Caenorhabditis elegans: one gene and its partners. The protein of the gene in region 2 purifies or fractionates together with the protein of the main gene of each other region. This does not show direct contact. Each region holds a gene or a part of one and is shown on either strand. Other genes may lie near its edges. The genes, in order: tmem-131, anmt-1 and ani-1.

Region 1 (9,466 bases), 3.7 Mb from region 2:
ACAGTACTCTTTCTCTGTTCTGCTCCACAAACTACCAAATCTTCTCCACAAAGCAATGGAAATATGACATCTCCCAGGTGTCCAGTTACTTCTTTTAGAGTTTCTTCTCCGTTTTTATCATTATCAGATTTTCCTGAATCAGTGTTCCAAGGCAAAGTTGTAGTGGCGGCTGGTGATGTAGTTGCGATGGGACGGTGTCCACAGAAAAGAGCTCCATGAGTAGAATTTCTATTAGGGCTTCCTGATGAACATAGTTCGGAGCATAGTTGGCGTAGTTTTGGAATTATGGATGAATACGCCTGTATAATTTAATTTTTATAGGCAACAAAGGTTTTAAAATCTTACACATGGAGTGAGAGTTTCCACAGGACTCAATGGAATTGATGGAACTCGGAATGAGCAAATAATATCTTCAGCTTCGTTCATGTTTTCTGCATTGTGACCACAGCAAATGTCATCTGAAATATAATTCTAAATCAAAGTCTCAACGTTTTGTTCACCATCAAAAGCCATTTCTTGAAATCTTTTCGTCAAAAATTTGCTTTTTAGAAGCCTGGTTTGCTCGAAAACTACATTGAATCTGCTTCCGTCTGACAACTTTTGTGAATCTCCATTCAGTGTATAGTACTGTTTCAGGGTGGTTTCATCTGAAAATGGTAACAATTTGTTTAAAAAATCGAAGAAAAAAAACTTACCAACACTGTCCGAAAACTTGACAATATCAGTGACATGGCGAATAAACAGACGTCGATTGCAAATCAAAACTGGTGAAACTAATTTTTTCATAGCTGATGAGAATAGGTTCAAAGTTTCTTTTGTTGGCTTCTCCGAACATAAATAGGCGATGCATAAATTTCTTTGAAAAGCTCTTGCTCTCATGTCGTACAAATTAAAATAATATGCGGCCGCATATACACCCGTTTGATTGTTTTCCAACACAATCATTGTACCCGGAACAGTATCAGACGACATCAACCAGATTGCCATATCGTTTATGTCAACTCCGCGGACTGAAAATTAGCATTTATTCGAGAAAATTGTGTATAAATATTTACTTTTATCATCTGGCCGCTGAGAAACTACCGCTAGTGGTTTTGGTCCGATAACTTGGCAAAATTCGACAAGAGTCAGAAATGGATCAATTTTTGCGACGAATCTGTTGAATGGATCGACGACTTTGGATGGTCGGAGGAGAAAATCCTCGAATGAAATCATTTCTGAAATTAATACAATTTTAATTTCATAATAAAAAGACGAATTCAGCAGAAAACGGCTTAAAAAACAAAAGTGAAAATGTTTGCAAATTATGGAAGAGTTTCCTTCATTAAAACTTTTCAAGCATGCGCCTTTAAAGCTACAGTAACCAAAACCCTCTATAAAACTACTCATTAATCAATTTAAAAGTCAATTTACGTTCAAGTTAAATTAAATCAATATTTTCCAAGCGAAATTGTTTGCAAAAGAACAATGAAGTAACTTCCAGCAGTGTAAACATCGGAAAACCAGTCACTGCAGTCAGGAGATATTGTTCTGGTGGCCGTGGCCGAGGATTCTCCACACGGCTGAAATAACTGTAATTTGTTTCTGTAGTTTTTCTGGTTTTTAATCGTCAGTTTTGAACGTTTTCGCGCAGAAATTTGCATATTCGGAATTATTTAAGACATATTTTTGATATTTATAGTATACTCTGTCAAATATTCTATTTTTCGCGTGTTTGTTAACAACAATAGCCGAAGAAAATCATTTTCTGATTACAAAAAAAATGTGTCCATAATTTCCACAATTGTTCTGCTAAATAAAGACTGTTTTCTGATTTTCTAAATTCTATGTAAATCCAAGCGCTCAATATTTTAATGCTTCATTAATATTCATACCCGAGGTAATAAAACTAGCCTGCGGTTGACAGCTATAGACTTTTTTCCTGACTGCCTTGACCTAGATGACAGATGGTTATCACTTTGTCTTTGTTTTATTCACTTGATTCCACTCATTTTTCACCGAAAAAAGCCCTTTTTCTTTTTTCTCTCTTCACTTTTCCAAACCAGATTTCTTCGTTCTTCTTTCTCTTATAATGGTGTGATGACGTGTTCAACATCTCTATTTTCCCTCAAAAATCGATCGATCCTATTTGTTCTGCGTCTCACGACGACTGTATCTTCTTCTTCCCAAGATGCCGAATACTGGGTCTCTCCAAATCAAACACTATCTCTTCTCCCAGTTATCCTTCCCAATTGAAGTCGACGTCGCCTTTGCCGTTGTCTCTCACTTTTTTATTTCCCTGGAGAAATCTCTTAGTGCCGTTCAATTCCACGTATCATCCATGTTGCATAAGCAAATAAGCAAAAAATAAGCAATAAAAACTGATTTCCGTTTTATTGTGCTTTTTAATTATCTTACTCAGAAAACCTATAGAAAAAAATTTATTCGTTTTTTCAGAGAAACTCTCAATTTACCAAATGCTCAAATGGTTCCATCAATACACAAAACTTCAAACAGATATCGGACGATATATTTCTTCCTAATTTCTCTTTTAATCACTTCAACTTTTGCAGATCAGCAGGTATGGTTTAGCCTCAGAAATTCACATTAAAAAATCAATTTCAGGCATGGCCTCTTCCAGAAGAAGTGTCCGCATCCCAGCTTCACGAGATTCCAGTTCTTCATACCGCATTTGTTCAAATCGGTGAAGAGCTTCACTATCTCAATCATCCTATTCGACCCGAAAATGTGCATCAATTGCCAGTTTATGATTCAATTAAAGGAGTTTGTGAAGGAAATTGTCCGAAAGAAGCCAACAAGAACCATGCGACGAAAACATTCAACGTGTTGAAATTGTCTGGAAAAGGGAAACTTCCAATGGAGATGGATCCACCAATGATGGATTTTGGGCAAAAGTGAATAATTTTTAATTATACTCAAAAGATCGAACTTCATAACGAGACTTTGAAAAAATGCAATTTTTGGAATGTCTCGTTATGAAATTCGACATTTTGGGGCCATTTTAAGTATGATAACAAAAATTTTGATTAATTTAAAAAACCTTCCAAGTATGCATTTTTTTTCAGTTCTGTCGGTACCGCGCAGAAACGCAAAATCTACATTCGAAATATGAGAAATGAACAGATATTCCTCGATGCAGTTGTTGTCAACTCTATTGAATTTCAAGCTTCATATTTTGAGCAATATGTGAGTTTTCTCTACTCAAAAATCAATTATTTCTTGATAATTTCAGAAGCTTGAGCCACATGGTGTTACATCATTGGAAGTGGTCTTCCTACCACGAGAAATTGGAAAACGATCGACAATTGTTCATTTTTACACTTCTGTTGGAGTATTCACATACAAAATGCAGGGAAATTGTGATTCAAATCCATATCGTATATCACCATTTACTGGTTATCGTCTTCCGATGAATTCATCTATTTCAAAGCCAATTGTTATTTTCAATCCGTACGCGTATACAATGAGAATTACCGAGGTTTGTTTTTTAAATGAAAAATTTCACGGAGATGATAAAAATACATTCAAAGGACGTTGTTTAAATAAATATAAAAAAAAAATTTTGTATTTAAAATAGTTTTGAATCGAAAAAATACTAGTTTTTGTGAGAAAAATAGATACATTTTCATTTTTGTAACATTTCAAAACTTTCAAATGACCAATTTTCGAAAATCTTCAATTATTTCGCCTATATAATTGAATTTAATAATTATTTACTTCTAAATTAGTTTAATTTAACAAAATTTATAGATCGGAACATCTGGAGGAAATGCTCACATAGAACTTCCTCATGAAGTTGACAGTAAATTGGCTGAAGAACCACTACAATATTGGGATATTCGTCCATATCAATCCAAACAAATCGCTACGCTGGTCCTAGTTGGAGCAACTTCTGAAAATTCGACAGTATTTGTTCGAATTGGATCTGAAATTTATTTGAGCTCTGAGCATCGCAAACCGAATACGGATATCTATTTAACCGTACCAATTGAAGTTCTGAAACGTCGCGGAGTGTATGCAACAGATGAAATTTTGGATTTTGGACTTATTCGACAAGGGATGAAATCAGAGGCCAAAGTATTTTCTGTGGTTCAATATCAAATTGGAGGAAGGTTGGAATTCGAGACTCTATACGTAGAGAAAGGAGATCATACAGCAATTTATATGGAATTTGCTTCACATCCACCAATTATAGTATATCCACCAACAAAGGGAAGCGTCACATTGGGACCAAAAGCAGATCTTGTAAAAGTATATCTAGAAGGAAATCGAGTACAAATGTCACCTCAACAACAGATGAAACATATTAGTGGGCACATTATTGCAGTTTCTAGAGGTGGAAACTATAATGTTAGCATTCCGTATCGAGCCGATGTATTTCGTGGAGACCTTCTCCCGATTGGAAATGATTTATCGATTCAAGAAGATTTGAGACCACCTCATCAAAGAATTATTCGAATTGAAAATCAGTTGCCATTCGATGTGGCTATTTTCAATATTACATTGGCTCCAGAATTGGTCTCCCACTTTTCTGTAAGTTCTCATAATTTTTTTTTGGGAAATTTTTAAAGTTCAAATTCTCAAAACTGAATTATCCTAGTTATTATTTTCTCTTCTTTCAGGTTCGACTCATTGATCGCACTGCCCTCATCCGTTCCGGCCACATTTCACCAGTCTTTGTTCTGAAATACAATAAGAAACTACCACCAACATTCGATAACTCTACAATTTATCTACACACAAATGTTTCCACTTTTAATTTAAGCCTATCAACCTATACAGGAAGAATGAACGTTGAGTTGATATCTGTGGATAAAAATTCATTTGATTTCGGTTTTGTTGAAAGGAATGACACAAGGACAATTCGAGTAAGAAAAAATTAAAATAAAGTTATAACATTTCAATTTATAATTTCAGTTCGTGGTTTGGAATCACAATCGAGCTGAGATGCGTCTCAAAAATCTTGCTGTACCACATCGTTCGGCTTACCGACTCTACGAAGTTGGTGTCAAGTCGATCGGAAACTTTTCTGATGTTCGAAATGATGAACGTCTTGAATACGTTGAAGCCACCGATGTTGATATTCCACCAATGAAAGGAAAAATCTTTGATTTGGAGCTGAAAGTTCCATCGGATGGAGTTGTTCGAAACGGAAATATCATTTTCGAAACTGATTTAGAGAGTAAAATATTTGGAGTTACTTATCAAGTATCAACTGGATCACTACAGTCGATACCGGAAGAAATATGCTTCGGACAGACGTTCCCGTCGAAATTGGTTTATCGAACACTACAGGTAGGAAGATCCTAATAGTTGCTTCAATTTCTGAAATTGTTTAGGTATTCAACTCATTCGACGAAGATATGACCGTAACCCGTCTGACAACTCTCAATGAAGATCCACGATTCTTTTTCGAAGGATTCGATCCCAAGAATCCACCTGTGCTTCGTTCAGGACGACTCACTAATCTTGGACGTGTCATGTTCTCTCCATCAGCTCCATGTGAACATGATTACTGTTATCTGGGTCTCCCATTAGGAAGTTCCGATGGAGCGTGGTTTACGCATGGTCTCACACTACCATCTAATTTGCCAGAAATTGATTCTTATCTGTACAAACAGTTGAGAAAGAAATATGATGCATTGGTGAATAGTGGAAAACATCATATCAACACTACAATAATTTTGGATACTGATAAAGCAAAGAATATCAAGATCAAAACATCTGCTGAATTGGTGTGGCCACGACTTCTCACAAGAAATTCCATTCATTTCCCTCTAACAGCTCTTGGAAACTTCACCATCGTGAATCTAACACTAGCCAATCCAACAAATGTGCCAGTTGCAATTCAAGTAATTCCATTGGTTATCTACCCGGATGCAGAGTCTCTCGTCGAACTGATGCGTCCAAATTTGGTATCCGAACTGACAGATCATGTTGAAATGAACGAAACATTGATGTTTTCGTTGCGAGACACTGAATTGTTCACTTTGAAGTCAGATTCACCTGTTCCGAAGCTCAGAGAAGCATTTGAATATCATTTAAATCATGAGATGCCAAGATATAATAATGAAATTAATATTCCTAGGTTAGTTGTTTTAAAATTAATTCAATTTATCAATTAATTTCAGGTTCACGTTATCAATGATCCTAAAACCACATATGAAAATTCGACTTCGCCTTGGTTTCCTGCCATCAGACTACACACTCCGATCATCTCTTCTCTTGATTCGTAACAATTTGACAGCGATTGAGCCAGTTGTAATGTATGGAAAAGGTGCTCGAATTGGAGTTAAAGTTGAAGGAGCCGAAGCTCGATCCAAAAAGCCGTTATTATTCGAAATTCGGCACGATCATTTGACAGATTGCAATAACCCTAAAAGTATGTGATTCGAAATTTCATTGAAAAATATAAATGCAAAATTTTACAGGATTAATGCACAAATTGCACTCAACTCTGACTGTTCGCCGCCCGTTCCAAGTGATGAATAGTGGAGAAGTTCAATTTACCGTAACCAATATGAGTATTAACGGTGTTCCTTGCGAGAATCGAGGTTTTCGAATTCTCAATTGTTACCCGTTCCGTCTACAACCAAATGAGACATATGCTTTAGATATTGCGTGAGTTAGAAAAATATAATTACAAAATAAACATAAATTGTATTTTTTTTAAATTTCAGTTACACACCAGACTTCCTTACAACAACCAATGAAGCAGATTTACAACTTTATATGCACATGAACGGTAGTGCTTGGATATTCCCATTGGCATCTACAGTACCCGGTGATATGCTTGCCAAATGTCATCAGGCACTCCCTCGACCACCTTTTGAGAATATCATGTATTATAGCTGTGTAACAGCACTGATGTAAGTTTAAACAAAACTTTATGAAAACTAAAATAATTATTTTCAGATTCTGTCTTGTTTGTGTTCTTGCATGCGCCTATCTGGAAGGTGATCGTGCTATTGCCGTTGCCATCAGACAACAATTTGCCATTCCTCGCCACGTATTTGATCTCAACAATTTGAATAAGAACAATTCTACAACTACACCTGTTCCTACAGTACCTTCTACAGCTAAGCCCGAAAGTTCTATAAAGAAGCCAACCCCGGCGACTAGACCTTCAACGCTTCGAGCTTCATCCGATGCTTGGCTCATTTCTCGATTACTTATCGGTTTGGCCAACTTCATTGTGAAATGCGTTCATTTATTCTGGAAATGGTCTTTGTTCTGGAGGAGAGAAAAAGCGGATGATAAACAATCAAAATCGGCAAAAGTAACGAAAAAGAAGAATCCAGTGACAATGCAGAAGGTTGAAGAGTTCCGTCAAATGCTTGAATATGTTGGGCAGCAGAAGCGACAACAAAACTCTGGAGAACTTGCTCCAGAATTTGATGAAGTTGAAGAAGAAGAGCTTGCAGAGATGTGGGCACAGAGAAAGGATTCTGGGGCTCAATCTTCGGTTGTGACAGACCCTGAGCCACCAATGTCGAAAAGTCAAAGAAAGAAGAAACGAGCTGCGCAACAGAAAGAAAATAATAATTTGGAAGCACCTATTATTGTACAACCAGTTGTTCAAAGCCCGCCGGTTCAAAATAAAATGGAACCAGCGAAGAAAACCACTCCGGGACCATCACCAAAACCAAAAGGAAACAATCAGCGAAAGAAACATGTGCAGGTACCACCAGTCACAAAGACTCCCGTTACTCCGAAAACTTCAATTCCTCCGCCAACAGAACCAGAGAAACCCATCAAGCCATCTGAACAGAAGAAGCCCAATGCAATACCAGTTGAACGGCCAAAGCAGCCAACTCCTTCGAAAGCAAGAACGCCAAGCAAAACACCATCCCAGTCTAATCGAGCTCAGCATCCCGCTAGCTCTCCAGCTCCAATTGCTCCGACGTCAGCTCCAACAGACGACTTTGTTCACGTCCCACCAACTTCTTTAACTTCACCTGATCTCTTCTATCGTCAATTCTTGTCATCAATGGGCATGCCAATGGACGCAGGAATGTGGGATACACCAGCGGCTCAAGCTGCAATGCCGTTTATGAATCTGTGGAATTATGGAGGGCCGTTGAGTGCGGAACAGATGGAAGATCTTATTCGACAAGCTTCTGGAGTTGCTCCAATAACTAATGATTCGGAAGGAACTACAGTTACAACACCTTCGGATATTGGAATGACCTGGGGAACTAGCGGACATTTAGGAGGAGACGAAGAAAGTATTGGAGGTGAAGCTGCACCAGATTGGATTGATGAGGTAATTAAAATTAGAATTGAATATCTTTACTTATTAAGAAATATTACAGGATGTCAATGTCGATGATGCAGAAATGGATTTCTCATCGATGTCTGCCGCATCTAAGGATATATTCAAAGATGATGATATTGATAATTTCAATCAGCAAATGAAAAGACAGAGAAGTCCAAGTCAAGCTTCATCAACTCTTTCAAGAAAGGCAGGTTCACAAAAGACAAAAACATAAATAATTATTTAATTTTTAGCTTGAAAACTCACCTCAAAAAATGGGAAGTCGTCGACTGACAATAGGAAGTGAAAAGAAAAATAATCAATCATCATCTTCGGCATTAAATCCGAATTACGACTTTACAAGGACACCCGGAAATCCGAATAGAATGCAAATGTCTCAGAACTCAATTCAGCCTGCACCTCCAGCAACATCTATTTGGGGAGACAATTCAAATTCGGATCCATGGGGCACAAATACGGTGTCAAATCCACTTTCTGAACTAGAGGATGATCCATTGTCACTTTCACATTTAGGAATCAATCTGGCTTCAAGTGAGTTTCAGTTTTTCCTCTTAATTTCTATGTTAATTAAACAATTTTAAACACAAAATCATTTTTTAGCCGAATCATCTGCAACAGGCCCAATGTTCACAATGTTCAGTGGTCCAGAATTCAATTTATGGTCGTCAAGTTCACTCTTCCATCCCCCAACACAACAACCATCAACTTCTCAAATGCCACAAGATACGGACAACGAGAATGATGAAAAGAATAACTAATAATCTCATTCTCAAACAGATTTCCCATATTATATCTACTTATCTGCTATCCAAATCTATATGTGTGTGCTGAAAAAGACTGAAGAAAAGAGCACGTCTTCAAATGAAAGTTTTTTGAACAACAATACGGTTTTATTTCAAATTTTCAATATCCAAAAAAGATCATTCACAAATTTTTAATTCTTCTCAAAACCTCCAAAATGGTTTCGTTTTGATTCTTCCGCGCGGGATCTTCTAGAACATGAACCTCGGAATCTCCATTGCTTAATCCAAAAGCCATATAACCAATTTTAGCGTTTTCCGAAAGCCACGTGTCAGATGCAAGTACTTGAACAGAATCCTGAAACAGATGAAAATTTAATTTTTAACCAAAATAAAGGAATTCCTTACCGTCCGATGATCTACACTCTTTGGAGATAACTTAAATCCC
Region 2 (5,388 bases):
TTCAAGAATGCAAGACCAGTAACATTGCTAGAGAAGCTGCTCTTCTCGCTGGTGTTCCAGATAAGATCCCAGCTCACACTGTCACTCTTGCATGCATCTCATCAAATGTCGCAATGACCACTGGAATGGGAATGCTCGCCACTGGAAATGCAAATGCAATCATCGCCGGAGGAGTCGAATTGTTGTCTGATGTGCCAATTCGTTACAATCGAAACGCCAGAAAGGCTATGTTGGGAATGAATAAAGCAAAAGATGTTCCATCGAAGTTGAAGATTGGAGGACAAATTGTCAAAAATTTGCTTTCTCCTGAACTGCCAGCGGTCGCTGAGTTCTCAACTGGTGAGACAATGGGACACAGTGGAGACAGACTTGCTGCCGCGTTCAATGTTTCTAGAAGGTAATTTTCCTTAAATTTCTGGGAAATTAATTAATGTCTACTTATTTCTATTTTCAGAGAACAAGACGAATTCGCAATCCGCTCCCACACTCTTGCTTCGGAAGCAGCTAAGAATGGAAAATTCACTGATGTTGTTCCAGTATTCTTAGACGGAAAAAAGCCAAAGACAATCAAAGAGGACAACGGAATTCGTGTATCCACTCTTGAGAAGCTGTCATCTCTGAAACCAGCATTTGTGAAGCCACACGGAACTGTGACTGCTGCCAACGCATCTTACTTGACCGATGGTGCTTCTGCTGCTCTTATCATGACTGAGGAGTATGCTCTTGCCAACGGATACAAGCCAAAAGCCTACTTGAGAGACTATTTGTATGTTGCACAGGTAAGATTATAATAGTTTTGTTGTTTTTAGTAGCTTTCGAGCGTTTTTAATTTCCAATATATTTCAGGATCCAAAAGATCAGCTCCTGCTCTCTCCAGCCTACGTCATTCCAAAGCTTCTGGACAAGGCAGGACTCACTCTTAAGGATGTTGATGTATTTGAGATTCACGAAGCTTTTGCCGGACAAGTCCTTGCCAATTTGAACGCGATGGACAGTGATTACTTCTGCAAAGAGCAGATGAAACGATCTGGTAAATTCGGAAGAGTTCCAATGGACAAGCTCAACCTGTGGGGAGGATCTTTGTCAATCGGACATCCATTCGGAGCCACTGGTGTGAGACTTGCAACTCATTCAGCTCACAGACTGAAGGAAGAGAAGGGACAGTACGCTGTAATTGCAGCCTGTGCTGCTGGAGGTCACGGAGTTGGAATGCTCATTGAGGCTTATGGAAAGTAAACTCGAGGTTACTTTAAACCCACTTTTCTGTATGATAAATTAGTGATTGTCCCAACTATTTATTCTTCCCATTTCTGCCATTTTCCCGTATTTCTCTTTTTAAATGTTTATGTGTATAGATTGTAGCGGTTGTCGTGCCTTTTCGTCTCCTCGTAATTCTACTGGTCATTTCTGAACACTTTCTTTTTCCTTTTCGATATTCTGTCAAATATCACCATCATTGCCATCACCAAAAAGGAAGTGGTACTAACTTTACTGAATAGTTAAAAGTTTATAAAATATTTTTAAAAAAACACAACAAATTAAAAAATATTTAACTAAAGTTTCTTCGATACAAGTAAGAAAATGTCGTCATGTGTAATGAATTTATATCCTTGTTCGGCAGTTGTCGCCATACCATTTGCCTGAAATCATATGGTTGGGAGAATAATTTGGAACATTTTGAAATTTTTTGCTCTTGTTGGTGGATCTTTTTTTTCAAAGAATAATATTTTAAAACACTTTTTTCAAAAATACAATTTACCTTGAGACTTTCAATTATATGTGCTTGTTTCAGCCGATGACATCGAAATGTTTTTCCTCCAAAATTGTAGGTCGTTGCATCGAGAACACCACCTTGAATCAGAATACCACCTTCATCAATAAGGGAACACGCACTTCGTACCGCCCGGAAATATGCTTCAAGAGTTTCACATGAATACTCTAGACAGAAGACAGTTGATACAACTTGAAATTTGTCTGGAACTTGAACTTGCTCATTTTCTTTCCAGACAATTGATTGAACAACCGGAGATTCATGGACGTTCACCTGAAATTAAACATTTGATAACATGCAAAACTTTGACGCGAAAATTTGCGCTTTTTGGCATAAAATTAGCTACCCGGTCTCGACACGACAAATTTTCGATAGGTGGGAAAGGATGTGCGCCTTTAAGAGGTACTCTAGTTTCTAACCTATCGGACATTTTTTGTTTCGAGACCGGGAATTCCCGGGAACCGAGTTCACCGGATTGTTGCGAAAAAATGACAAAACAACTGAAATATCTACAGTAATCTTCCTCATCTTTATAAAGACCCACAAATTTAATTTTATATTAAAATCTATAAAACGATATTTCAAAACTTACATCTAAAACTGCTCTCATCAACTTTCTCGTCTTATTCTGCATTTGCTTTCCAGTTTCCATAGATGCTTCAATATTGGCAATCCATGAACACACATTGTCCCAATCAAAGTCAGATCTGAAATTGAACTTAATATATTAATTTCAGAAATTAACCTACTTGTCCTCAATCCAATTGATAAGTGTATCTCGATTAGCTGGTGCATAGTCAGAAGTATAAATATTTTCAGCACGATCCCGCAAAGAAATTGGAAGATATACAGTTGGACCTGCACCCAAATCCAGAACACTTCGAACTTTTTGAGGTAAACGATAAAGGATTCCAGGTAGAAAGAAGAGTACTATTTGCATTGCTGTATCTTCTGATGCTGTTTTATAGAAACTATTGAGATATGCTGTTGGGTTGAACTGAAATTTTGTATTTATTAACATCATGCTTTTTTTATTTTTGTTTTTTTTTTTGGTGTAGTAATAGTTTTGGCAACTGCCAAAATTTTGAAACATTTAGACAGGCACTTTCGACTGTAAACTAAAATTTTCAAAATAGTTTCAAAAGTATTACTACGATATCTAGTCATTTTTATCTTCTATGACATGTTCCAAAACTTTCTGATAAACACGAACTTTATCTTTATGCTCAATAGCTGCACATTCTTCATCCTTTGGCTTTTCATCTTCTCCAGTATTATCGTTTTCCGTTGTTCCGGTCATCTGAATACACACACATCATTTCCATATGAATAACAAGAGATAAAACAGAGAAAAAGAAGGACAAAGATGCGATTCAAAGATTCGAAAGGTTGCGACTTCAGTTGGTACTTCTCTGGCATTTCTTCCCTCCTCTGATATATCCGGTCCACCTTGCCCGTCAAATGCTCTCTAATATCTGCGTCTCTCTGGGTTCCCGTGCTATTTTTCATGGATCTGTAGTGTAACACTCATCGGGCGAGTTGTCTGTGTCTCTATTCCGATCACTCTCTCTCTACAGCTTCTCCTTTCTGTTCGTGTGAGGCTCCCGGGCCGGGGTGCTCGTCCCGTTTCTTTATGTTTCTCCGTTTCGGATCACCTTGTTAATTGTTCGTCTCCCAGTTCCACTTCTTGCTCTTTTTGGGTTTATTCGTTATACGAATTTTCAAAGTTTCACAGAACAACCTTTAAATTTTTTAAACTTTAACAGTTGCACATAACCATTTTAAAATCTCGACTTCAATTCCTAGAAAAATCCTTAAAATATATTGGTTCTTGATCCTAATGTACAGTAGCTACTACTGTAGCTAAACAGTAATAAAATTGCGAAAATTGTTACCAATTTGATATGTTTTCCTATTTCACTTCATTTCCAAAAGTCAGCAGTTATCACTTACTTTTATTTCGAAATATTTTTTTATAAAAAAGATTTTTGATGAGAAAACCAGCACGGAAATGCAAAATAAAGTCAGGTGACAAAATGTTGTAAACACAAATGATGCCCAATAATTATGAAATAGGAGGTATTCTTTTTATATTTGACACACTTCTGATATCACTTCCTTTTCGTGCTCAAAACCAATTTTAATGAAGAAAAAATGTGGTAAAATCTCATAAATCTTGCATTCTAGACTTGAAATTTTCACTTCTCTTTTCGAACGGTTATTTTTGCCACGCGCAAATCCTAGGCCACGGCCTTCCGGTTTCTAGGCCACCACCGCCATTTTGAGTTTTTTCAATTACAAATTTAACAATTTCCACAGTTTTCTTTGAAATTTATTCATTTAATTGCTTTAAATCTATATTTATATATTAATTTTAGTGTTTAGTGAAATAAAATGCAATAGATCGCTACAAATATGTCAACAGGAGTGTTACAATTCGTCAAAGGAATCGATTTCTCGGGAAATGACTTTTCGGTGAGTTTTTCTTAGTTTTAGACACAATTTTTATACGTTTTTTTTCAGGGAGATCGATTTCCTCACGATGTGGAACAAATGACGCAAATGACATGGTTGAAATTGAACGATTCGAAGCTCGAACAGGTGCCTGATGAGCTGTCGCGTTGTGCGAATCTGGAACATCTGCAAATGGCTCACAATCAACTTATTTCTGTACATGGAGAGCTTTCTGATTTACCGCGACTACGATCAGTGATTGTCAGGGATAATAACGTAAGAATTTTTGTTTTCTAATTTAGTTAAAATAAAATAAAACGAGATTTTCAGCTAAAAACCGCCGGAATTCCAACGGACATTTTCCGCATGAAAGATCTTACAATTATCGATTTATCGCGAAATCAATTGAGAGAAGTTCCAACAAATTTGGAGTATGCAAAAGGATCAATCGTTCTGAATTTGAGCTATAATAATATTGAAACTATTCCGAACAGCGTTTGTGCCAATCTTATCGACTTATTGTTCCTGGATCTTTCGAACAACAAATTGGACATGCTTCCACCACAGATTCGTCGATTAAGCATGCTTCAAAGTTTGAAACTTTCAAATAATCCACTTAATCATTTCCAATTGAAACAATTACCAAGGTTACTGAAAAAAAACAGAAATTCAAAACAAAGAGTCTTTCAGCATGACATCCCTAAGCGTTCTTCACATGAGTAATACCAATCGAACGCTGGATAATATTCCTCCAACTCTGGATGATATGCATAATTTAAGAGTGAGTTTCAGAGTTTTCAGCTTACAATTTAAAGTTTTACGTTTCCAGGATGTTGATTTTTCTGAAAACAATCTTCCCATTGTCCCGGAAGCTCTCTTCAAACTGCGAAATCTTCGAAAATTGAATCTAAGTGGAAATAAAATCGAAAAATTGAATATGACTGAAGGAGAATGGGAGAATTTGGAAACATTAAACATGAGCCATAATCAATTGACAGTTCTTCCGGATTGTGTTGTCAAATTGACAAGACTCACCAAATTATACGCAGCAAATAACCAATTGACATTCGAAGGAATACCATCTGGAATAGGAAAACTCATTCAACTTACCGTACTTCATTTGTCATATAACAAGCTGGAATTAGTTCCAGAAGGAATCTCGC
Region 3 (9,321 bases), 3.8 Mb from region 2:
CGGTGAAAATTGCGGAAAAATTCATCAAATTTCAATTTTTTCGATATCAGGGTTATTTTTTCAGAATTTGAGGCTATTTTTAAATTTTTTGAAGCAAAATCCCATTAAAAATTTTTTCAGCGAAGTACAAGAGAAGGTCTATCATAGATTTGCTGACAATGATACCCGAGTATTCTATAAAAATCAAAAATTATATCATTTCAACAAAAATGCTTCTTGTCCAACGTGCCATTTGGATATGAAGGTTACAATTCCGAATATTGTATTTCAAAAGCTCATCGACGCGGCTGATGTGACAATTTTTGGAGTTCGAATCAAATTTGCTATTGAGTCAGTGCTAAAAATGGTCTCCGAGGCTCCGTATATTACGGTATAGTTTTTTCTAAGAATGCGTATTGGACAGCATATTTGACGCGCAAAATATGAAATATCTCGCAGCGAAAACTACAGTAATTCGTTGAATGGCTACTGTAGCGCTTGTGTCGATTTACGGGCTCGAATTTTTTTCAATTCGAGCCCGTAAATCGACAACTCTCCAGCAGTCTCATTTAAAGAATTACTGTAGTTTTCGCTACGAGATATTTCACATTTTGCGCGTCAAATATGTTGTGCAATACGCAATTCTCGGAATTTTGTGCTCTCCGTAATATAATAGTGAAATTTTAGGTAAAAGTAAGCGATGCTCTATTCGACGGATACGAAGACCCGATAATCGATATCGTTTGTAAAAATAAAATTCTTCAATTCCTCTGCGAAACGAATTCTCTTCAGCGGAGAGTTGGATTCTTTTATGGGGTAAGATATGAGTTTGCAAGGTGCCGCACAGAAAAATAGGCGGAGCCAAATTTTGCGCAACCATGCCGCACGGTTTTCCTTCCAAAATATTGATTTTTCTTCAGCAAAATGGAACAACAGACGGAATATACGAAGTGGATGCTGGCGTGCCATCTCCATCGAAAATCGGTCATTTATACACGTGGAATAATATGACAGAAATGCCCGAAGGAACATGGGATACTAAATACGCACGAATGATTAACGGAACCGATGGACAATTGTTCAGTCCGATGCTGAAACGAGAAGACAGATTGACGATATTTGTGCCGCAAATATGTAGATCAATTCAAATGGAATACACAAAAGATGTCGCTGTGAATGGGGTTCCTTCGTGGAGATATGCACCACCTTTGGATCTTTACGATCCTGCTCTTCCGCAGAATCGAGCATTTTGTAATAAGAATGGAATGCCGCGATATTTTGATAATACTACTGTGCAAATTGGTGAGAGAGAGAGAGAGAGTTTTATTTTAAAAAATTCGATTGTAAATTTAAATTTAAATTTTAATATTAATTTTTCCAGAAAACTGCCTCCCTGCCGGTCTTATCGACTTGTCACGATGCCAAGCCGGCAATCCACGTGTCTATCTATCCAATCCACACTTCTACAACTCACCAATGGAGCTGTGGCATTCCGTCACTGGGCTCTCGGTGCCAACTGCTTCAAATGACCTGACTGTTGTAGATATTGAGCCAACTGCCGGCGTTCCAACTCAAGCGAAAAGAATTATGCAGATTAATGTGGGAATGGTCAAGGGATCCTTGAGGTTTACCTATTACGAAATTGAAATCTCTAATAATTATCGATTTTTCAGTGTCACCGAAAACACGACAAACGTCGTTGTTCCAGTCCTTTGGATGAACGAAACTGCGTATTTCGATCAAGGAACTCGTGATCAGCTGATTAATATTTTCAACGCAAAACATTATTCATTTATTGGAGGTGTTATCAGCTTGTCACTTGGTCTTATCGCCTGGCTTGCCGTTTTTGTTGTAATCATTGTTTATTCGGTAATTATATTATTGTTGGTTTTCTGCAAAATTCAATTTCCTCTAATTTACAGCGACAATCCGACGAAGAAGAGTACGGACGTCTTGTGCTGGAGGATGAGGACGAAGAGCCTGCGCAAGACGAGAACGCAGTTTTGGCATAAATTTAAAAATTTAAATCATTTTTAATCATATTGTGATAATTTCGAATTTTTGATGCAGGTTGCAATAATTCTGGTGCTCACACGACTTAATATGGCACTTTTTCTTGTAAATATTAATTGAATAAATGATTTTTTTCGAAATTTTTTTTTATTTTGACGAAATCCCGCGAGAGGGAGAGAGAGAGAGAGCACGCGAAAAGAAGAGACGCAGATGCGCGGGATTAAAGGCGCGTTTTTTTTCACGCGTGGGTCCCACCACGCGTCGAGACCTGGTTGCCGCCAAAACAATGTATTCAAATTTTGCAACTCGATTTTAAACGTTTTTCGATTTTTTGACGTGAATTTTCACATTTTTCCTGTTTTTTGACACGTTTTCCACGAATTTTGCCCGATATAAACGCGTATTAGTCAATTTTAATTATTTTCTACAAGAAAAGCTGCGAAAAGTGCGTCGTTTTACGAATTCGTTGAAACTGTTCGCAAGTTTTGATGAGATTTTCTTGGAAACATTGTTTTCTTGCAGAACTACACTGTAAATACAATGGGGGATCAATTCGATTCTCTAATGGAACGCATACGAGTTCGGCAAGCCGAAATGTCAGGCGAAGGAGAGGTGGCAAAGGAGAATGGGCCAGTGACCTCAAAAATTACATCTGTGAAGCAAGAAGGTATATTTTGGGGTTTTTAAGAATACAGAAATATAAATATATTAATTAATATGTTTGATTTTCAGTTGCATCTCCAACAAAAGTCTTCGGAAGCTCCTCAAAATGCAACGACGGCCCGTCAACTCCAGTGCATTTTCACCCTCAAGAGCCAAAGGAGACAACTCCAAATATGAAGGAAAACGCTGAAAATTCATTAAATTCGTTCAAAGATGCCACAGTCAACGAGTCAAGCTCCAAAAAGACGTCGAGATTCTCAATGTTGGCTCAAGAAATCGATGAATACGAATATGACTACCAATCACAGTACAATAAGCCGAAAGAAGCATATATGAAGGGAAGATCTCCACGAATGTCGATCGGAGAGACACGTCCAGCAGTCCTGTGTACTCCGGCTGGAGCACAAGCCATGAAAAGCCCAAATGTAGCGGTATCGTCGAAAAGTGCTCCCGAAATCGCTCTCGGAATGTCGGATTTCGAAGCTCGCCGCATCAAATTCGCCCAGCCAATTGTGAATGTGAACTATCTGCCCAACGAATCGTCGATTTTCTCCGGAGGATCCGGATCATCTGTAAACGATCAGAGCACTGTGCTCGGAGGCTCTGCCGAAATGATGAACGTCACCACGTCGTCGCTGAGCTGTGGAGAGCTGTCGATGAATCAGCATATAACACACGAAAATACGATTATCAACGCACAATCGTGTGATAATCGAGAGGCGATTTTGAGAGAAAGACAGCAAGTTTCAAACGAAGAATATGGACCGCACACATTTATGAGAAAGGTAGAATGTTGGGAAAAGTCAATGTCCCTTTAACGAGCTCGTGTACTGTGCGTGGACAATCGCGAATTTATTTTCGTGCAGGATTTCACGGTTTTTCGTTAATTTTTCTCATTCAAAATTGCCAATCTACCTAATATTGTCGTATTTTCTCAAGATTTTGACTTGCCTTCTTAAAGGTGGATTACGCTCATTGGGGAAATTGCTTTAAACCCGCCTATGGGGTCACAATGACCGAATATCATAATAAAAAAATTTTCTAGGTTTTATATGATTTTTTGAAAATTGAAAAAATCTCAGTTTTTGCCTAATTCCTATTTGAATTACCGCCAATTGGATTTGTTCGATGGAGCGCGCTTGCGCGTTTTTAAATTTATTTATTTTATTTTTTTTTGTTATTTTCCACCGATTTTTCATGTTTTCTGTGTATTTTTACAGAAAATTTGAAGGAAAAGTCAAGACAAATGCAAATTTTCGATTAAAAAGCACGCTTACGAGCGTAAAAATGGAAAAGTAACGCTTTTAAACGATTTCGAACCTGAATTAATTAATTTCACTGATTTACGCCTGTACGTTTGCTTTTTAATCGAAAATTTGCATTTATCTTGACTTTTTCTCTAAAATTCGAGCAAAAATACACCGAAAACATTAAAAAATTGGTGGAAAATAACAAAAAATAAAATAAATGAATTTAAAAACGTGCAAGCGCGCTCCATCGAACAAATCCAATTGGCGGTAATTCAAACAGGAATTAGGCAAAAACTGAGATTTTTTCAATTTTCAAAAAATCATATAAAATTTAGAAAATTTTTTTGAATTTTTTTAATCATGATATTCGGTCATTGTGGTACCATAGGCGTGTTTTAAAGCAATTTCCCCACTGAGCGTAGTCCACCTTTAAAGGCGCATGGATGTATTCAGATGGGTCTCAGCGCGCCAAAAGTTTATTGCTTCGTATAGCGAATTTTGTCGATAAAAATCGCTTAAAACAACGTAATTTCAATGAAAAATAAAAAACAATTTAATCATAAACTTTTTAGCGCGACGAGACCCATCGGAATAAATCCTTGCGTTTTTAGGAAGACATGTCTTGTAAAATTACAATATATAATAGGTAGACTGGCAGTTTTAAATGCAGAAAAATGGACGAAAAGTGAAAAATCACCCTTTTTAGCGAAAAATTGTGAAATCCTGCAAGAACATAAATTCACGTTTGTCCACGCATAGTACACGAGCTCGTAAATCTACACAAATCTTAAAGGGACATAGCCTTAAAAATGAGATTTTGAGAAACATTTTTCGATAATAACTCCAAAATACATAGTCCGCACGCCTTTTTTAGTGATAATTTCGCACGCTTTCGAGAAAATCCTTTGTTGCCTAATCCTTTTGTTTTTTTTTTGTCGTGTAGAAGGTGCCAAAAGAAGCTTCATCTGCGACATCATCATCATCGTCAACGACAACTTTAACTACGATCTCCGGTGCATCAGGCTCTACAACGTCTGGAATATCGAATGCTCCACAGGACTCGGCTTCAACAAAAACCACGACTAATACATTTACTTCTTCGTATTTGCTCACTAAAACCTCGAACAACAACATCAATGCACTTGTCTCGTCGTCGCCAAAACCGTTTTCTAAAGATATCGGAAGATCCATGTTCTCGCCTGTGCATTTTGTATGTTTTTTTGGTTTTTTGCTTCACGCCTCTATCACCTCACCTACTAACTGCTCTCTTTCAGACTCCAAAAAGCACGTCGTCACCGAAAACTCTGTCGGAGAGCATCTTCTCGCCATCGAAATCCGCCGCAGTCGAAGGATCAATTGCGACTACGAGACGGCTTCAGTTTGAGGAGAAATTGAAGAAAAGTAGTAGCGCGAATGTTGTGAGTAGATATGATGTGGAAAATGCTCTTGGCAGCTGATTATTGCGACTGATTGGAAATTAAAAAATATTTAATTAAACTAGAAAAAATCCCCCCTGCAAAACACGATTGTTGCGATTTTGCATCCGTGACATTTTGAATTTCCACTGAAAATAGCAGATTTTTCAGATTCATCAAATTTTTAGCTTTAAAAATTTTATTTTCTGCATTTTCCGAACAAACTTTTTCGTTAAACAGTGAAAATCGAATTTAAAATGACTAAACTGAACATTTTTCGTCCACTGGTTGTGAAATGGATTGAATTTGAAAAAATCAATGGGATTTTTCTTATTTTCTAGATATTTTTCTATTAAAAATGTATTAAAACCGATTTTCAATAGAAAAATTTTTAGAAAATAAGAAAAATCCCGTTGATTTCTTCAAATTCAAAACATTTCACAGCCAGTGGACGAAAAAGGTTCATTTTAGTCATTTTAAATTCGATTTTCACTGTTTAACGAAAAAGTTTGTTCGGAAAATGCAGAAAATAAAATTCTAAAGCTAAAAATTTGATAGTTCTGAAAAATCTGCTATTTTCAGTGGAAATTCAAAATGTTGCGGATGCAAAAAGCCAAACCGGATTTCTCTCCATTTCCAGACAGCGCCTCCTGCACCTACATCAGCACCAGTTCCAACGCCACGCCACGTGGCTCCATTGGCACCTACAGTAGCCCAGCAGAGCCACTTGACTCCAAACCATCGTCATGCTGCTCAACAAAAGAAGCACCTGTTCCCCGTAGTGGGGATCGTCGCGACTGCACCGATTCCAGTTCAAACTCAATGGAGAGGACAATCGAATACTCCAGTTGTGCAGGGAGCTCGTGCCGACGAGAAGACTGCTGGTAATGAGCCACCAGTTGGAGCCGGAGTTGGAAAGCTGAAGAATTTGAAGTCGAGATGGGAGTTTTCGTCGGCAACTGGCACGCCAATACATCCTGATGCTACCGAAGATTCGTTGATTGCTACGGCAATTAAGATGAAGGAGAGTGCGATTCCGAAACAGCTTGGTCACAGATCAGAGCGAAAAGGACCATCCGCCTCGTCGCTCTACTCGCAAGGTGCTCGGAGTAACACGGCTTCTCCTGCATCGAAAAGTACTCGTTATGAGCAAGAAGAAGAAGATGATGTGTTTGAAGCTCCAGAATTTAATGATGGAGGAGACGTGATATCAGAAGATGGAATTCTTCAGGAAGAAGAAGAGGATACTTCTAAATTCATTGATAATGCATTTGGATTTATGGAAGGATCTGGGGCTGGAACGCCGAGCCCATATCGCGAGCCTCCGTTGCAACGTTTGGAAAAGAATAGGCCGCCGGCGGAGGTTATTGAAGAAGAAACTGAAAATGAGGATGAATCTGAACCCTATGAGCCGGAAGAAGAAGAGGATGACGATGCAACAACACAATTTCCTGTACCTGAAAGATCACGAAAATCAAGTTCTCAACTGGCCTACTCTGTTTCGTTTTATCGAAAAATTCAACGAGACAGAAACGAAGAATCGTCGACAGTGCTGGCCGGGCCAGTTATCAGTCAAATCAGTCCATCTGCTCCGCCGATGTCATCATCGCTCACATCACAACAGAAACTTCGACAGCTCACCACCGGGCCTGCGAATGGAGCACGAATTGTCGAGTCGGCTAAGGATGCTCACGATCGTATCAAGCGAGCGATTCAAGTTGAAGAGCAGCTTGTTGCTCAATCCAAGAGAGCAATGATATTGGCCCGGGATAAGCCAAGTTTCCGTGGATCGCGTGAGGAATTTGAAGCACAATGGGCAATGCTTCGTCATGTGGAAAAGCATCGAGCACTTCTCACTGAGTATGATCGATTGAAACGAGATGGACCGAGAATGTTAGTTTTTTTTTTCCGAATTTTTTTTTCACCTAAAAAAATATTCAATTTTTTTCCAGTATCGATGGACCACGTGGAACGATAACAGTATCCCAGTTGTCAGTGAACATGGCTCGTGATTATGTGTCAGCTAATATTGCGTCAAGCAAGAAATCCGATGAAGTCTTCTATTTCGCGGCGATTCTCCGCTACGGCGAGCAAGTCGACGTGTCGAAAATGGTGACAAGCGACGGTGGTCTGAATCGTCGTGGTGTTCTCGAGTTTCCCGTACCACTGATGTTGACCGGGATTCCACCGGATTTCCGAGCAACTGTCGAGATTTATGGACAACGATCGATGCGAGAATCGACGTCGCACGAGGATAAGTACAAGTTGAAGAATTCGACGTTTAAGGCGAAGGTTTGTTTGTTTTTTTCCGAAATATTTGTCATATTTTACATACTCGTCCGTTGAAAATTCGAAATGTCTGCTGCTATAGAATATCGACAAATGGTGTTGTTATGATGTTGTTGATGAGTGTGAGCATGAATCGAGAATGACAGCTGCTGAAAACTTAGCAAGTGAGGAGAAGAAGAGAGTGCCCCTACCCTGTAGATTGTGGAGAAGATTGCATGATGTATGTCTGTTTGTTTGTTTGTTTGTTATTGTCAAATGTCTTGTTCTTCTGTTTTCTGTTAATAATGTATCATAACTTCATCTTCTTCACGTTCCGGCAAGTGGTACATCCATGCAAATGCGCTCTACTGATAATTTGAGTGTAGACCAGGTTTGGGCGCGTGATAACGAAAAAAGCTTTGGTCCAAAAAATGTAGAATTTAATATCGGGCATTTTTTATATGCATCACAAAAAAACTGGACAACTGTTTTTGAGATACACGCGCCCAAACGTCCAGGTATACGGTAGACAAATTGCGTACAGGTACCACTTCTCGGGCCGTGTTCTTAAAGCCGCACAGATTTATTCATATGGGTCTCGGCGCGCCGTTGTTTTAAGCGAATTTTTCGCTACATACTCGCAAGCAATTTGATTGCAAAATGGAAAATAAATGAGGTTATCATGCGCTCCGAGACCCTTCTGAATAAACCCGTGCGCCTTTAATTAGACGTGTATATCAATAGAACCTGGAAATAAGTAATATTTCTAGACTCGTAACACATTCCTGGGCGGCGGATCAACTTCATCAGCAAACCAGAGCCTATTCGTCGATCCAGCAGCATCGTCATCATCAACTTCGTCGACCACATCCAACTTCAATTTGCTCGGAACATTCTCGTTCGACATCAATTGCCCTGGAAAACATTTGTACAACATGTCACATACTGTATATCCGCTCGAAGGTATTACACAGATGAAAGTACGCAAACAGGCGATCGATGGAGCTGATATCACTTATCACGGATTCTTGTCAATGTATCAGAGAACTGGCGAGGGGCTCGGATCGTGGACGAGATACTGGTGTGCTCTTGAGAATGGAGAGATGAAGTTTTGGAAGCAGCCAGAAGATGAGGGAACTAAGGTTTTTAAATTTTTATTTTTTTTGTCTAAAATTAAACTTTTTTTATTGTAGGGTTACACTGCACTAATGGATCTTTCAACGTGTTGCCGTTCCGAAGGTGCATCGGTAGTTGAAGACATTTGCCCATTCCCGAATAGCTTCCACATTGATGTTTGGGCTCCAAAAATGGATACATCGGATCCACGTGGCATTGAGCGTCTTCGAGTTATGCTGGCGGCCGATACAGCTCAAGATCTTCAAACATGGCTGTCACTGATCAATTCTACGTCGAAGCAGTTGTGCACGTGGAGAAATCCGATTGTTAATCAGTAGTCCCCCCCTTTTTTGCAAGCTTTGTGCCTGTATGTATCCCCCAGTTTTTCCCCTCAGATTTTTTTTGACAAATAATCAAATGTTTTATTATTATTCTCGTTACTTCTCTCTCTCTCTCCATGTTTAGCTTCCTTCTTTTCTAGAATTTACTCCCTTCTTTTTTAATCAATACATCACTGTCCCATTATCATTATTCCACTCTTTTTGGGCCTTTTTCGATTTATTCGAAAATTTTAGTTTCACAGTGCCCCTCACCATCGTACACTCTTACAATTAATT

The links.
Region 1: the proteins of anmt-1 (region 2) and tmem-131 fractionate together in Caenorhabditis elegans (co-fractionation; one large-scale study listed by BioGRID). This does not show direct contact.
Region 3: the proteins of anmt-1 (region 2) and ani-1 fractionate together in Caenorhabditis elegans (co-fractionation; one large-scale study listed by BioGRID). This does not show direct contact.

The regions. Positions count from the first base shown.
Region 1 is NC_003281.10:4,991,132-5,000,597, reverse strand, and holds tmem-131 (Transmembrane protein 131 homolog), read left to right. Parts: upstream 1-2,436; 5' UTR 2,437-2,464; coding exon 2,465-2,560; intron 2,561-2,604; coding exon 2,605-2,894; intron 2,895-3,065; coding exon 3,066-3,186; intron 3,187-3,232; coding exon 3,233-3,478; intron 3,479-3,750; coding exon 3,751-4,533; intron 4,534-4,622; coding exon 4,623-4,868; intron 4,869-4,917; coding exon 4,918-5,295; intron 5,296-5,339; coding exon 5,340-6,088; intron 6,089-6,131; coding exon 6,132-6,382; intron 6,383-6,431; coding exon 6,432-6,621; intron 6,622-6,680; coding exon 6,681-6,869; intron 6,870-6,915; coding exon 6,916-8,266; intron 8,267-8,315; coding exon 8,316-8,465; intron 8,466-8,511; coding exon 8,512-8,809; intron 8,810-8,878; coding exon 8,879-9,036; 3' UTR 9,037-9,159; downstream 9,160-9,466. Other genes in the region: Guanine nucleotide exchange protein smcr-8, read right to left, coding at 1-299, 346-458, 501-647, 696-1,010, 1,056-1,215; wdr-60 (WD Repeat protein), read right to left, coding at 9,203-9,376, 9,427-9,466. UniProt on the Caenorhabditis elegans protein: Collagen binding transmembrane protein involved in collagen secretion, probably by recruiting the ER-to-Golgi transport complex TRAPPIII. Required for normal development.
Region 2 is NC_003281.10:8,682,492-8,687,879, reverse strand, and holds anmt-1 (Nicotinamide N-methyltransferase), read right to left. Parts: upstream 3,073-5,388; 5' UTR 3,072-3,072; coding exon 2,985-3,071; intron 2,769-2,984; coding exon 2,521-2,768; intron 2,479-2,520; coding exon 2,364-2,478; intron 2,045-2,363; coding exon 1,760-2,044; intron 1,641-1,759; coding exon 1,554-1,640; 3' UTR 1,472-1,553; downstream 1-1,471. Other genes in the region: hadb-1 (putative 3-ketoacyl-CoA thiolase), read left to right, coding at 1-397, 455-779, 847-1,236; fli-1 (Protein flightless-1 homolog), read left to right, coding at 4,187-4,246, 4,295-4,501, 4,556-4,872, 4,916-5,006, 5,055-5,388. UniProt on the Caenorhabditis elegans protein: Catalyzes the N-methylation of nicotinamide and other pyridines to form pyridinium ions. Involved in regulation of lifespan extension downstream of the sirtuin sir-2.1, probably through its role in nicotinic acid metabolism.
Region 3 is NC_003281.10:12,446,396-12,455,716, reverse strand, and holds the start of ani-1 (Anillin-like protein 1), read left to right. Parts: upstream 1-2,514; 5' UTR 2,515-2,532; coding exon 2,533-2,659; intron 2,660-2,724; coding exon 2,725-3,440; intron 3,441-4,848; coding exon 4,849-5,115; intron 5,116-5,179; coding exon 5,180-5,323; intron 5,324-5,960; coding exon 5,961-7,213; intron 7,214-7,272; coding exon 7,273-7,612; intron 7,613-8,358; coding exon 8,359-8,730; intron 8,731-8,781; coding exon 8,782-9,042; 3' UTR 9,043-9,321. Other genes in the region: scav-3 (Sensory neuron membrane protein 2), read left to right, coding at 121-370, 667-795, 900-1,281, 1,361-1,604, 1,653-1,848, 1,902-1,991. UniProt on the Caenorhabditis elegans protein: Required for contractile events in embryos that occur prior to mitosis, such as cortical ruffling and pseudocleavage. Promotes membrane ruffling by organizing cortical patches of septins and myosin II. Not generally required for cytokinesis in mitotic cells.